2 linked regions of the Nothobranchius furzeri genome follow. The protein of the gene in region 1 binds, or shares a complex with, the protein of each later gene. Links are inferred from orthologs where the notes say so. Each region holds a gene or a part of one and is shown in the gene's direction. Other genes may lie near its edges.

The links. Proteins that work in one complex are often made in the same cells at the same time.
Region 2: striatin (region 1) and stk26 share a complex: the UniProt entries of both Homo sapiens proteins name them as parts of the core of STRIPAK complex. The link is inferred for Nothobranchius furzeri from reciprocal best matches to the Homo sapiens genes STRN and STK26.

Annotation. Positions count from the first base shown.
Region 1 is NC_091752.1:1,682,006-1,687,900, reverse strand, and holds part of striatin, read left to right. Parts: intron 1-1,154; coding exon 1,155-1,233; intron 1,234-1,942; coding exon 1,943-2,113; intron 2,114-3,370; coding exon 3,371-3,506; intron 3,507-3,599; coding exon 3,600-3,762; intron 3,763-4,293; coding exon 4,294-4,404; intron 4,405-5,895. UniProt on the Homo sapiens protein: Calmodulin-binding scaffolding protein which is the center of the striatin-interacting phosphatase and kinase (STRIPAK) complexes.
Region 2 is NC_091742.1:86,850,474-86,855,170, forward strand, and holds part of stk26 (serine/threonine-protein kinase 26), read left to right. Parts: intron 1-475; coding exon 476-661; intron 662-1,220; coding exon 1,221-1,360; intron 1,361-1,441; coding exon 1,442-1,535; intron 1,536-1,806; coding exon 1,807-1,869; intron 1,870-2,026; coding exon 2,027-2,154; intron 2,155-4,361; coding exon 4,362-4,377; 3' UTR 4,378-4,697. UniProt on the Homo sapiens protein: Serine/threonine-protein kinase that acts as a mediator of cell growth. Modulates apoptosis. In association with STK24 negatively regulates Golgi reorientation in polarized cell migration upon RHO activation.

The DNA of each region.
Region 1 (5,895 bases):
TTTTCGCCCGTTGACTGCTGGAGGTATTCACCAGCTCTCCACCACCCCACTGAGCATGAAATGGTTAAGATACTGACAGAATAGTCAGACTTTGTTCCAAGCACCCAGAATCCGTTTTGGTTTAGTTTCTGCAGGTCAGCAACGGCGAGAAACAACTTTGGGTTTAAATAAGAAAGAATTAAGACCCTGTGTGATTTAAGCACAGCAAGAACATTTGCATACTGAAAACAATTGTACTGAAACTATTGAATTTCCCTCTGGGATTAATAAAGTATGTTTGAATTTTGAATTGAATGAATATTTGCACACATACCTTTTTGCATAAGTCTTATTCAAACCAGTTCAGAGTCAGAGTAAAAATTTAGCTTTTTTTTTTTTGCTCACATTTTAGTTTTTCTGAGTCATCAGCAGCCAGATCCCTGAGAGATAACTACTCAGATAACAGATAGTGGTTATAATATATTCTTCTCATGCTCATGTGTTCGGTGCTTCCATAACAGTAGTTTTTTTTTGTCTCCCTCTGTCGTCTGCAGAGTACCTGCTTCTTATTATATGACTGTAGTAATGCTCCAGTTCTCATTTTATTTGCTCTCCTCTCTCCTCATTTCTATTCATGAGAGCTTTTCTAAACGCAGAACCCTTGAAGTGTTGATGAATTAGGGAAGGTGAAGGAGGAGGGAGAGCGCGGCTCACCTGCCTCCCCATCACCCTCTCTGAACCAGCTATGACCCACTTTGAAGGCATCTTCATTTCTCCATCTCACCAGATCGACCCCCTTCGGGTCCTCTGTGAGCAGACAGTTTCTAAATATCAAAGCAAGCTTAGAATTAGAGGTCCAAAGGTTGTGTGGTGTCTTTTCACCGTGTCACAGGACACAGTGGAGCAAAGATCAACCACGTGTGTGTCAGAAGACAAGCTCAGGAATGACACGTCTCGTTTTAACATAGGAAGGCTCTTCCACAGAAAGCAGTAGTGATTCCAGGTTTAACTTCAACGATTAAAGCTTTAGAGCGACTGCCTGACTGTAACTGTCGTTCGACTCCACTCAGGTGTTAAGACTGTGTTTAGTTTCCAGGCCATGGTGATGCAGGAATGTCCTTGTTTACTTAGTGTTGGGTGGGTGTGCTGATTTGTGTCCTCCTCTTCTCCTTCAGATGAGGCCAACGAAAACGAGACTTCTGGATCACTCAACAATCAGCTGTCCTGGAAACAAGGCCGGCAGCTCCTCAGACAGTGAGCTCTTTTATTTAAAGCTGACGCTTTACTCCGGACAACCTCCTGAATCTGTTAAATAGAAATACCAGCGTGTTGGCAGGCTAACGTCCTCGCTTCTTGTAGAGTTTGTGAAACGGACTGTGAGGCCAGTGGTTCTGTGAGCAGAAAGGGTAAAAGCTGTGGTGAGCAGCACCCTCACATGGACGGCTGCTGCTGTTACCACGGAGTCGGAGTCATTTCTGTGGTCCTGCTCTCCAGTCTGTCTGTTTAAATAAAGTGACGTCATCGCCAAGCACAATCACATCATACCCTAACACACTATGTTAAAGACGGCTCGGGATGGTGGCAGAAAGGAGCTGCATGCTGATTGGCTGGTTTACCTTGATGGCTCTGTGGCGCTACCCGAAGCCGTGTACCCACATACCTCAACAGGAAAGCTGTGGATCTTTGTTGGTCTAATCGTGTTTTTAAATGATGTCACACGGTGCTGACCTTGTACCGTCGGTTAGCACTCAGAGTTCGTGTTGTAAATGTCTCTCAGCTACTAGCACACCTAGCTTAGTATCCATAAAATTATCACCATGTTCAGTTGTAGGTGTATATCTAACGGCTGCTGTCTAAAAGTCATCCACTGGGTCTTGGTCAGAAACAACACGAGTTGCAGGTGTAACCAAGCGTGCGACCACCACTTCACTGCCTGCTGGTAATCTAGTTCACCCCGTTGCAGGTACCTGCAGGAGGTCGGCTACACAGACACCATCCTGGATGTGAAGTCCCAGCGGGTCCGAGCTCTGCTGGGACTTGCCGGAGACGGAGGCGGGAAAACGGGTGAACGGATGAACACGGAGCCTTCGGTCAACGGAACAGACTCAACGACTAAGGGCATCGGCACACCAGGGTAGGTGTCCTCAGCTTAAAAGTGTGTTGAAGCTGAAATGATGGTTTCTTTGTGAGAGTTATTTCTTTAGGGATGCTAGATAATGCTTTAGGTTCCGGTTGTTAGCATTAGAGCAAAGTCCGTCATTACCAGATTCATGTTTCTAGTAGAGGTAGAAAACCTTTGTTGAAGTACAGTGATCCCTCGTTTATCGCGGTAGATGCGTTCCAGACCTGGCCGCGATAGGTGAAAATCCGCGAAGTAGGGACACCATATTTACAGTATTTATTTAACAGGTACGTATTCAGTATTCAGACTTTTAAAACCCTCCCTTTACATAGAAAATTTTTTAACTTGGTTTTTTATAGTTTTATTACAAAAAGTGCATTTTTTGATGAAAAAAAACAGGAATTTCTTGATATTTCGCATAGAAAATACCGCGAATCGGCGAATTTCCCTTGAATAAGGCTCCAAAGAAAAAATCCGCGAAGTAGGGACACCATATTTACAGTATTTATTTAACAGGTACGTATTCAGTATTCAGACTTTTAAAACCCTCCCTTTACATAGAAATTTTTTTTACTTGGTTTTTTATAGTTTTATTACAAAAAGTGCATTTTTTGATGAAAAAAAAAACAGGAATTTCTTGATATTTCGCATAGAAAATACCGCGAATCGGCGAATTTCCCTTGAATAAGGCTCCAAAGAAAAAATCCGCGAAGTCGTGAATCCGCGATAAACGAACCGCGAAGTAGCGAACGATCACTGTATTTGAACATAAAAACAGGGGCGATAAGAGGCTTCGCTCTCCAAATATGCAATGAGCATAATTTGAAAGGCATATTTTCATGTTTAAAAAGCTTAAACGCGTCCACACAACTGATGTCATCCGCTGTGTCTTCTGTCTTTTTTTTATTTTATTTCTGGACACAAATTTTTCCTTTTTTGACAAAAGTCCTGCCCTGCTCAAACATTAGCTGTTAGCGCGTCCAGCTGCTACCGAGCTGCACGGCTCCATTCCAGCCACATGATTGGTCCAACGCAGAGCAGCTCTTACTACCACTTGCTACTCATCTGTTCTACAAACTGCATCGACCTGTTCTTGTGTATCTATTGACAAAAAATGATCCTGAGTTATATTTGTATCGTTTCATCGCCAGCAGAAATATTCCAGGAACATTTCAGGCCTTTCAGATGAACCTTGGTCCATTAGAAACGGGTACTGGATAAATCCTGGACACGTTGTTAATCTAACCAGTCGTAAACGTCCCCCTTCAGGAAAGCTGAGCTCTCCGACACTAGCGCCGTCCTGGAGGCCTTCAAATTCATTGAAAACGCAGCGGCTGAGTTCAGCGATGAAGATGAGGAGGAGGACAGTGAGGGGAAGGAGAGGACTAATGTGGAATCCAGGACTGTAAGACACTCGTCTCCCCTCGCCCTTCTGAACTGACACAATCGTGCCCCCCCCCCCCCCCCCAAAAAAAAAATCTTTTCTTATCATTTTTAGATCATGAGGAAGAAACCTCCTTCGTCATCATCACCAGCCAGTATGGACACCAGTGAGGACCCTGACGCCGAGGAGGCGCTGAAAGGCTTTGACTTCCTGTCCAGCCCCGACGAGACGGACACCTCGTCAGAGTCCAGAGGGACTGGAGACGGCACAGACTGGGGTGAGTCTAAATGTCTTGATGTACTATTTATTTATTATGGATGCAGTTAGATTATTTAGCTCCTCTTGGACGATAAGTTCAGATACTTCATAAAATGATCTTAAGATGTTGTATTCTTGTTTTTGGAGCCGATCATGGAGAAGTCGTCATTCATTTTTCATGCTGTGGTCATAAATCACGACACCAGGAGCGTTTAACTCATAGTTTGTCTGTTTGTCCCCATATCCTGTTTGTGTCCACAATGTGTCTCCTGCCTCGTGTCTCCTCTGACCAAACCCCGACCTGTTCAGGTGTTTAAAATTTAAACAACTTAATTTGTCTCTCGACACCGACGCGTATGGAGAGAGAAGACACCTGCCGGCTCCGCTCCCAGTATTTAAGAACACTTTTACTCCTCTGGAGGGTTTGAGAGCAGCGCGACGTCCAGAGGAGTAAAACCCCTGAGAGGTGTCTGCTCTGCCAGGCCCATCTGTTCTCGACCGGGGCGCTTCCTCAACAGCCTCTCGGTCTGGTTTTCTCCCCCTTGTTTAGAAAAGGACAAGCAAGGTCCCATTTCTGAGACCTGGGACGTGGACCCGGTCCTGATAACCGAACTCAAGGAGCAGTACAAAAAGGAGCGCAAGGGGAAAAAGGGGGTGAAGAGTAAGTCCTGTCAGGCACTGCCGCCTCCCTCCCTCCCTCTCCTCTCTTTACAGAGTCTGACTTTCCAGCCTAAAAGCCTCAAACCAAAAGCAAAGCCTCTTCATCGTTCTTCTCTCTCTCTAGCTCTTTTCCTCTTGCGTGCCCCCCCCCCCCCCTTCCATTTCCTCATTATTGCTTGATGCATGTTTGTCTGTCCCACTTGTTTCTCCTCTCCTTTGCATCACACCATCATGGCGTCCACACTGTTGAGTATCAGCGGCACTCGGCTGTCCGCCTGAGTCCCTGTCATCTGTTTCCGTGTCTTTAGTCATCGTAACATAATGATCACCATCTTTTTTCTCGTCTGTCAGACGTGTTGATGCTACAGTAGAGAGATCATTAAGCTGCGGGTTAACCGACAGATATTAAGATTTTTCTCTCACATTTGGACCAGCTCTGCTCTCTCCCTGCTGCGACTGATCATGAGATCAACAACTTGCTCCATCCCTCTTGACTCCAGCGCCTCTTTTCTTTTACACTTTATTTTTTTTCTGCTTTTCTTATTTAATTTCTTTTCCCCTCTTTGCCTCCTTGGCGCTTTATCGCTTTGGTGGGTGTGTGGAGATCACAAGGAGGGAGTTTCTGGAAGAGTTTGAGTAAAATTGAATATTTAGCAAATATTTAAGCTCATTTTTGGGGTCTTGCTTGAACATTTTAGGTGGGTTTTTGTAATTGGAGAGGTTTTGATTAGCAGATGACATCATTTCTGTTTGGGCTTGATATTTCTAATATATTTTAATATTTTTCTTTTGGTAAAATATTTACAAAAAATCAGTTGAGAGCTACACGTCTCAAATGACACACAAACACTTGTATTAATAACACATTTATAATCCATGCTAAATCATTTAAAATCCATCTAGGGTTGGCTATACATCATCTTTTCACCGTAGTACGGTAATTTGTTTTTGTCCGGTAGATAAAACGTACGTCGTGTTAACGTAAATAAATTCACTACGTAGCAGATTTACGCTCACGTGGGCCATGCAGAGTGGAGTTAATAAAGTTATAAACGTAGATGGAATCTCGCATCATTCACTCATATCAGCAAGTAGGGAAAGCTGCGTGGTACTTCCTGAGGGATTTTAAATGCCGCAGGCCCCCTCACCTGTTACCTGGTTGCACTGAGAGGTTTGGCCCATCTCTCACCACAAACAGATAAATAAAATAACGTTGGCCATGGCGAAAAGACTCACTGACACCTATTCTTCCTTAAAAACAGTTTTTTCCCTTCAGAATCAAGAACTTGATCTTTTTACTTGCTGTCTGCGAGTGCTCGTAATTTCTGTCCGTCTGTTAACTTTCTATCTTCTCTCCCTCTTGAGAAACACTAAACTCAGCGGAGAATTTTCTTCCTGAGGTTTGTTGGTAAAATCTATCCTCGATAGGCTTGATTTTTGGTCTGTATTTATTGCATCACCCTTCCCTTCCTCAGACTGTCCCGCTGAACCT
Region 2 (4,697 bases), on another chromosome or scaffold:
TGAAGTTTTGTTTGTTTGTTTGTTTAATTAACAGACGCTTTTCTCCAAACTGACCTAACGTGCATGTTTTTGCTCCGTGGGAGGAAACCCACAGATGTACCAGCTGCTCCGCCATGCTGCTCACTGTGACAAACCCAAAACCTACAGATGATAAAATCATACATGATTTATTTATTGGACTCTAAGCTCATCATTAGATTTATATTTTTCCTGAATTAGGATTATTTACTCTGGGACCATTTTATTACCTTTAAAATAAAAACAGGTTCCCATGATCAACCACTACGAAAAGCTGTTTTGTTGTATATGAATCATTTTTCAGACATTAACTCTTTCATTAACACTTCGCCATGTCTCAGAATAAGATCAGAATCATCAAACCACCTCTGGATTTGTGGAGTTCTAAATAAAACATTAAAGTTGTCTTTAAGCTGAACCCAACAGAATTGTGTGGTTTTTTTCTGTCCCCCGGCAGGCGGACATCTGGTCTCTGGGCATCACCGCCATTGAGCTCGCCAAAGGTGAACCTCCCAACTCCGACATGCATCCGATGCGAGTCCTCTTCCACATTCCCAAATCTCCTCCTCCGACGCTAATCGGAGACTTCTCCAAGAGCTTTAAAGAGTTCACAGAGGCCTGCCTCAACAAGGACCCGTCCTTTGTAAGACCAACTAGTCAACTTTGTTTTCTGAGCTTCTGAAGCGAGGCTTCTGTCTTCAGCTGATATGATTTTATGCTGATGTTCCAGATGTTCTCGTTATTCAGCTTTACTAGTTAAGCCCCGCCCCTTTTATGCCAGATATATTCACCTGTTTGCAGAAAGATGTAGAGTTAAGTAATTCTGTTAAAACAGTCGTTTAAAATAAAATTTCAATAAAAACAGCAGCTTTATTGGGTATGCTGTCAGTGTTATTGTTGTTGTTTTGTTTTGTTTACTAAGGTATTTTATTAGTCAGGCTTTTAAGGACTTTTTGGGCTCAGATTGTTCATTTTTCTGCTACTTCCTTGGGTTTTATGACATTTGACACAGTGATGTGTTGCTGCCACCTAGTGGACTCACCAGCATTTTCTTTCCCCATTTTCTGAAAAATTTGTTTATCTAATAGCTCATTTTTATACATAAATGTAAAAAAAAGTTTCAAATGATGAACTTTTCCACTTTCCACGGTGTTTGAAGAGTTTATGCGTCAGTCTCAGTAAACCTGTGTCCTGTCTCACAGCGTCCCACAGCCAAGGAGCTGCTCAAACACAAATTCATCGTGAGAAACTGCAAGAGGACGTCTTACCTCAGCGAGCTGATCGACAGGTACAGGAGGTGGAAGGAGGAGGGGCACAGCGACAGCAGCTCCGACTCAGACAGGTGAGTTTTTAAATGTGTGTTCGTTTGGGTTGGAAGATGTCCGTGTGCGTTAAACAGTAAGACTTGTATTCTTGTGTGAAGTGAGCATGATAAAGAAAACAACGAGAGTCCTGAGTGGTCGTTCACCACCGTCCGTAAGAAGAAACCAGAGGGCAGGAAGGTCCTCAACGGAACGGTTAGTGCAGTCTGAAGAAAGGAGCTCTGTTTGTTTGTTTGTTTTAAATCAGACTTTTAACAGAGAGCAAAGTTATTTCTGGTGTCATCTATTTTATCTCTACAAAATTATGAATTTAAATGTTCCTCTGATTGTTTTTTGTATTTTCGATAAACCTACAGATGTTTTACTAAACATTAAAGCAGAGTGTAGAACTCCAGATGTGTTCATGATGATGATGATGATGAATTTACTAAAGTTTCTCTTTTTTTCTGCTGCTGATGTGAAACAGGCTCAGGCTCAGCTGAGTAAATCTGCCAGTCTGACCACAGTCATGTCTCCTGTCTTCACTGAGGTGTGTAGACACAAACACATACACACACGCATTAAATTCCTATTATCCTTCCTATCTTTATTATTCCTTATTTTTACCTATGTTTTTAATGTTTTGGGTGGTTTTCCCAGATTTAAGTGGTTGTTTCAGTAAAGTTCTAATTCCACCTCTTCTGTAGTTGAAGCAGCAGCACAAGGAGCACTCTGAGCAGCGATTGGCTATTGAAGAGCTAGAACGCAACATCCGATTGGCTGAAGAGGTGTGTCCGGGCATCACGGACCAGATGGTTGCTCACATCATTGCCAGGTACCAGAATATATTGATTTAACTTTTATTTGGTGAACTCATTTAAAGTTATTTACACAAATTAACAGAGACTAATTAAAACAAATGGACTCATTAGCAGCAACAAAAATGGCTAAACAAAATAACCTCTACTCGGCAAACCACTAATCGGTGAACCGCTTGGACAAAGAGCACAGATTGGCTAAAAGAGATTAAGACAAAGGCGGTCTAGGAGACAACAGAACAGAGACTACATCTCCAGCCTGCTGCTTGGTCTAGGAGTTTTGATTCTCGCTTTGGGTGCGAGAGGTCCCGGGTTCATATCCCGGATGAGCCCCCAATTATGTTATGACCCGTCTAGGAGCGGCCAGGCCGTAACATACTCGGTGGACCTACAAAAGAAATGAACCAACTGATGACCGAACTAACCTCCCTGACAAATAAAAACAGAAGAAAACTGGGTTAAAATTTAAAGCCAGATTACCCCTCCTCAGCCTAAAAGGTTTTCACAGATCACCACCCATTAGTTTTTATCTTTCAGATGCAAAACTTCAACCAATATTTAATGAGGTGGAATTTGTTTCTGCAGGATTTTAACTTGCAGATTAGATGTGAGAAGGGTAAGGACAACGTTCTGGCAGACGCCTTGTCGAGAGCTGTGTAAATGGTGAGAATAGAATAGACTTCATAAATCCCACAGTGGGGAAATACATTTGCTGCAGCATCACATACATTTGGAGAAAAAGAAGAAAAATAGTTACAAAATTACAGGTAAACACACAAAAGCTATAAGTTATTATTGTAACATTCAACCACTAAAAACAACAAATAAAAAAAACTTGGGTTTCCAAACCTGTGCAGCATAAGGGACACAGATATACTAATGTACATCTGGTATTGCACAAATGCAAACATGTTCACATACGTGTGTGTTTTAGTAGAATGAAACCGTTTTCTCCTGTATTGGTTAGTCAGGGAAGTATGTTTGGTTGTCATTTGGTTCATTTCTTTTGTAGGTCTGCTGGGTGATTTAAGTTAGAGGTGTTTTGTTTATTTTAGGCCCATGGTTCACCCTGAGCTTTTAATCCTCCCTTGCCCTTAGTTAAATGATTGAGTCCTTAATGTATTTGTAAATATTGTAAATAAATCTTTGTAAGTAGTCCTTCAGGTGTGGTTGCTTGGAATCTGCAGTGAATGGTAAACCAAACCAGGGGCGGATTTAGGACTGAAGAAGATCCGGGGCTTAACACACACGCGCGCGCACACACACGCGCGCGCACGCGCACACACACGCGCGCGCGCGCACGCACACACACGCATGCGCGCACACACGTGACACGCACTAGTCAACATCATATATATTTGTCTTGTACCACATAATGTTTAATCTGAAGCTACATATTCAGCATATTCAGGGCAGAGTATTGTTCCTGTTAGTGTTTAGTGTGAGATGATAGTGAATATTCCCTTTCTTTCTCCAACAACTTTACCTGATAGTAAGCTAACTTTAGGCAAACCAGCAGCACAACAAATATTTTCAAATAAGACTCACAAACCTGAGTCAACACCAGTCTCATCAGAGCTGGGGTTCTGTCGTTGTACTTTTGGTCTAAAAAAACGTCCTTATATCCATCTTCACTCATGCGTTTCAGACAGAGACTGCAGAAGCCAGCTGCTGAAGGGCTTCTCTTCAGTCTCAGGTAAACTGTATACTGACTAAGTAGCCTAGTGGTAGAGTGTCTACCCTGAGATCGGGAGATCAGGGGTTCGACTCCTGGTCGGGTCATACCAAAGATTTTGAGAAAAATGGGACCCAATGCCTCCCTGCTTGACACTCAGCATTGGATCGGGGTTGGATTGGGGGGGTTAAACCACCAAATAGTTCCCGAGCGCGGCGTGTCTGCAACTCAGGGGATGGGTCAAAATCGGAGAATAAATTTCACCACACACCTGTGTGTGTGACGACTAAATGGGACTTTACAAACTACTGCCAGCTGCGCCCTCTCTGTGTGACTTTGGTACTGCATGTTACTTCCGCGATTTAGATCCGGGGCTTATCATGAAAGATCCGGGGCTTCAGCCCAAGTAGCCGGGCCTAACGCCGCCCCTGAACCAAACCTTTGTTACGGCCCAGCTGCCCCTAGACGGGTCGTAACACTTTTGGCCTCGCGTGGAGCCGAGTTGATATCATCTCATCATGCTTTCTCCTGAACTCTGGTTTATTTCAGATACACGACAAACTGAAGGACAGTTTAAAAGGAAAGTAGGAAGAGATGGTCTTCATATGGGGGCACTGCTGGATGAAGAAAACAGGAGATTTGCTGTGCGATGTCTCCTCTCTCCACACACACACACACACACACACACACACACACACACACACACACACACACACACACATCCCAACACACACACTAGCATTGTAATATATACACTATATTTTATAGCCTCACTGCTGCTGTTTGAGGATTCCCCCCTCCCCACAGGTTTAGTTTGAAACTAAATTTTTAAATAAAATGGTCTGGATGATTGAAAATACCATAATGTGCCTTACTTTATTTTTA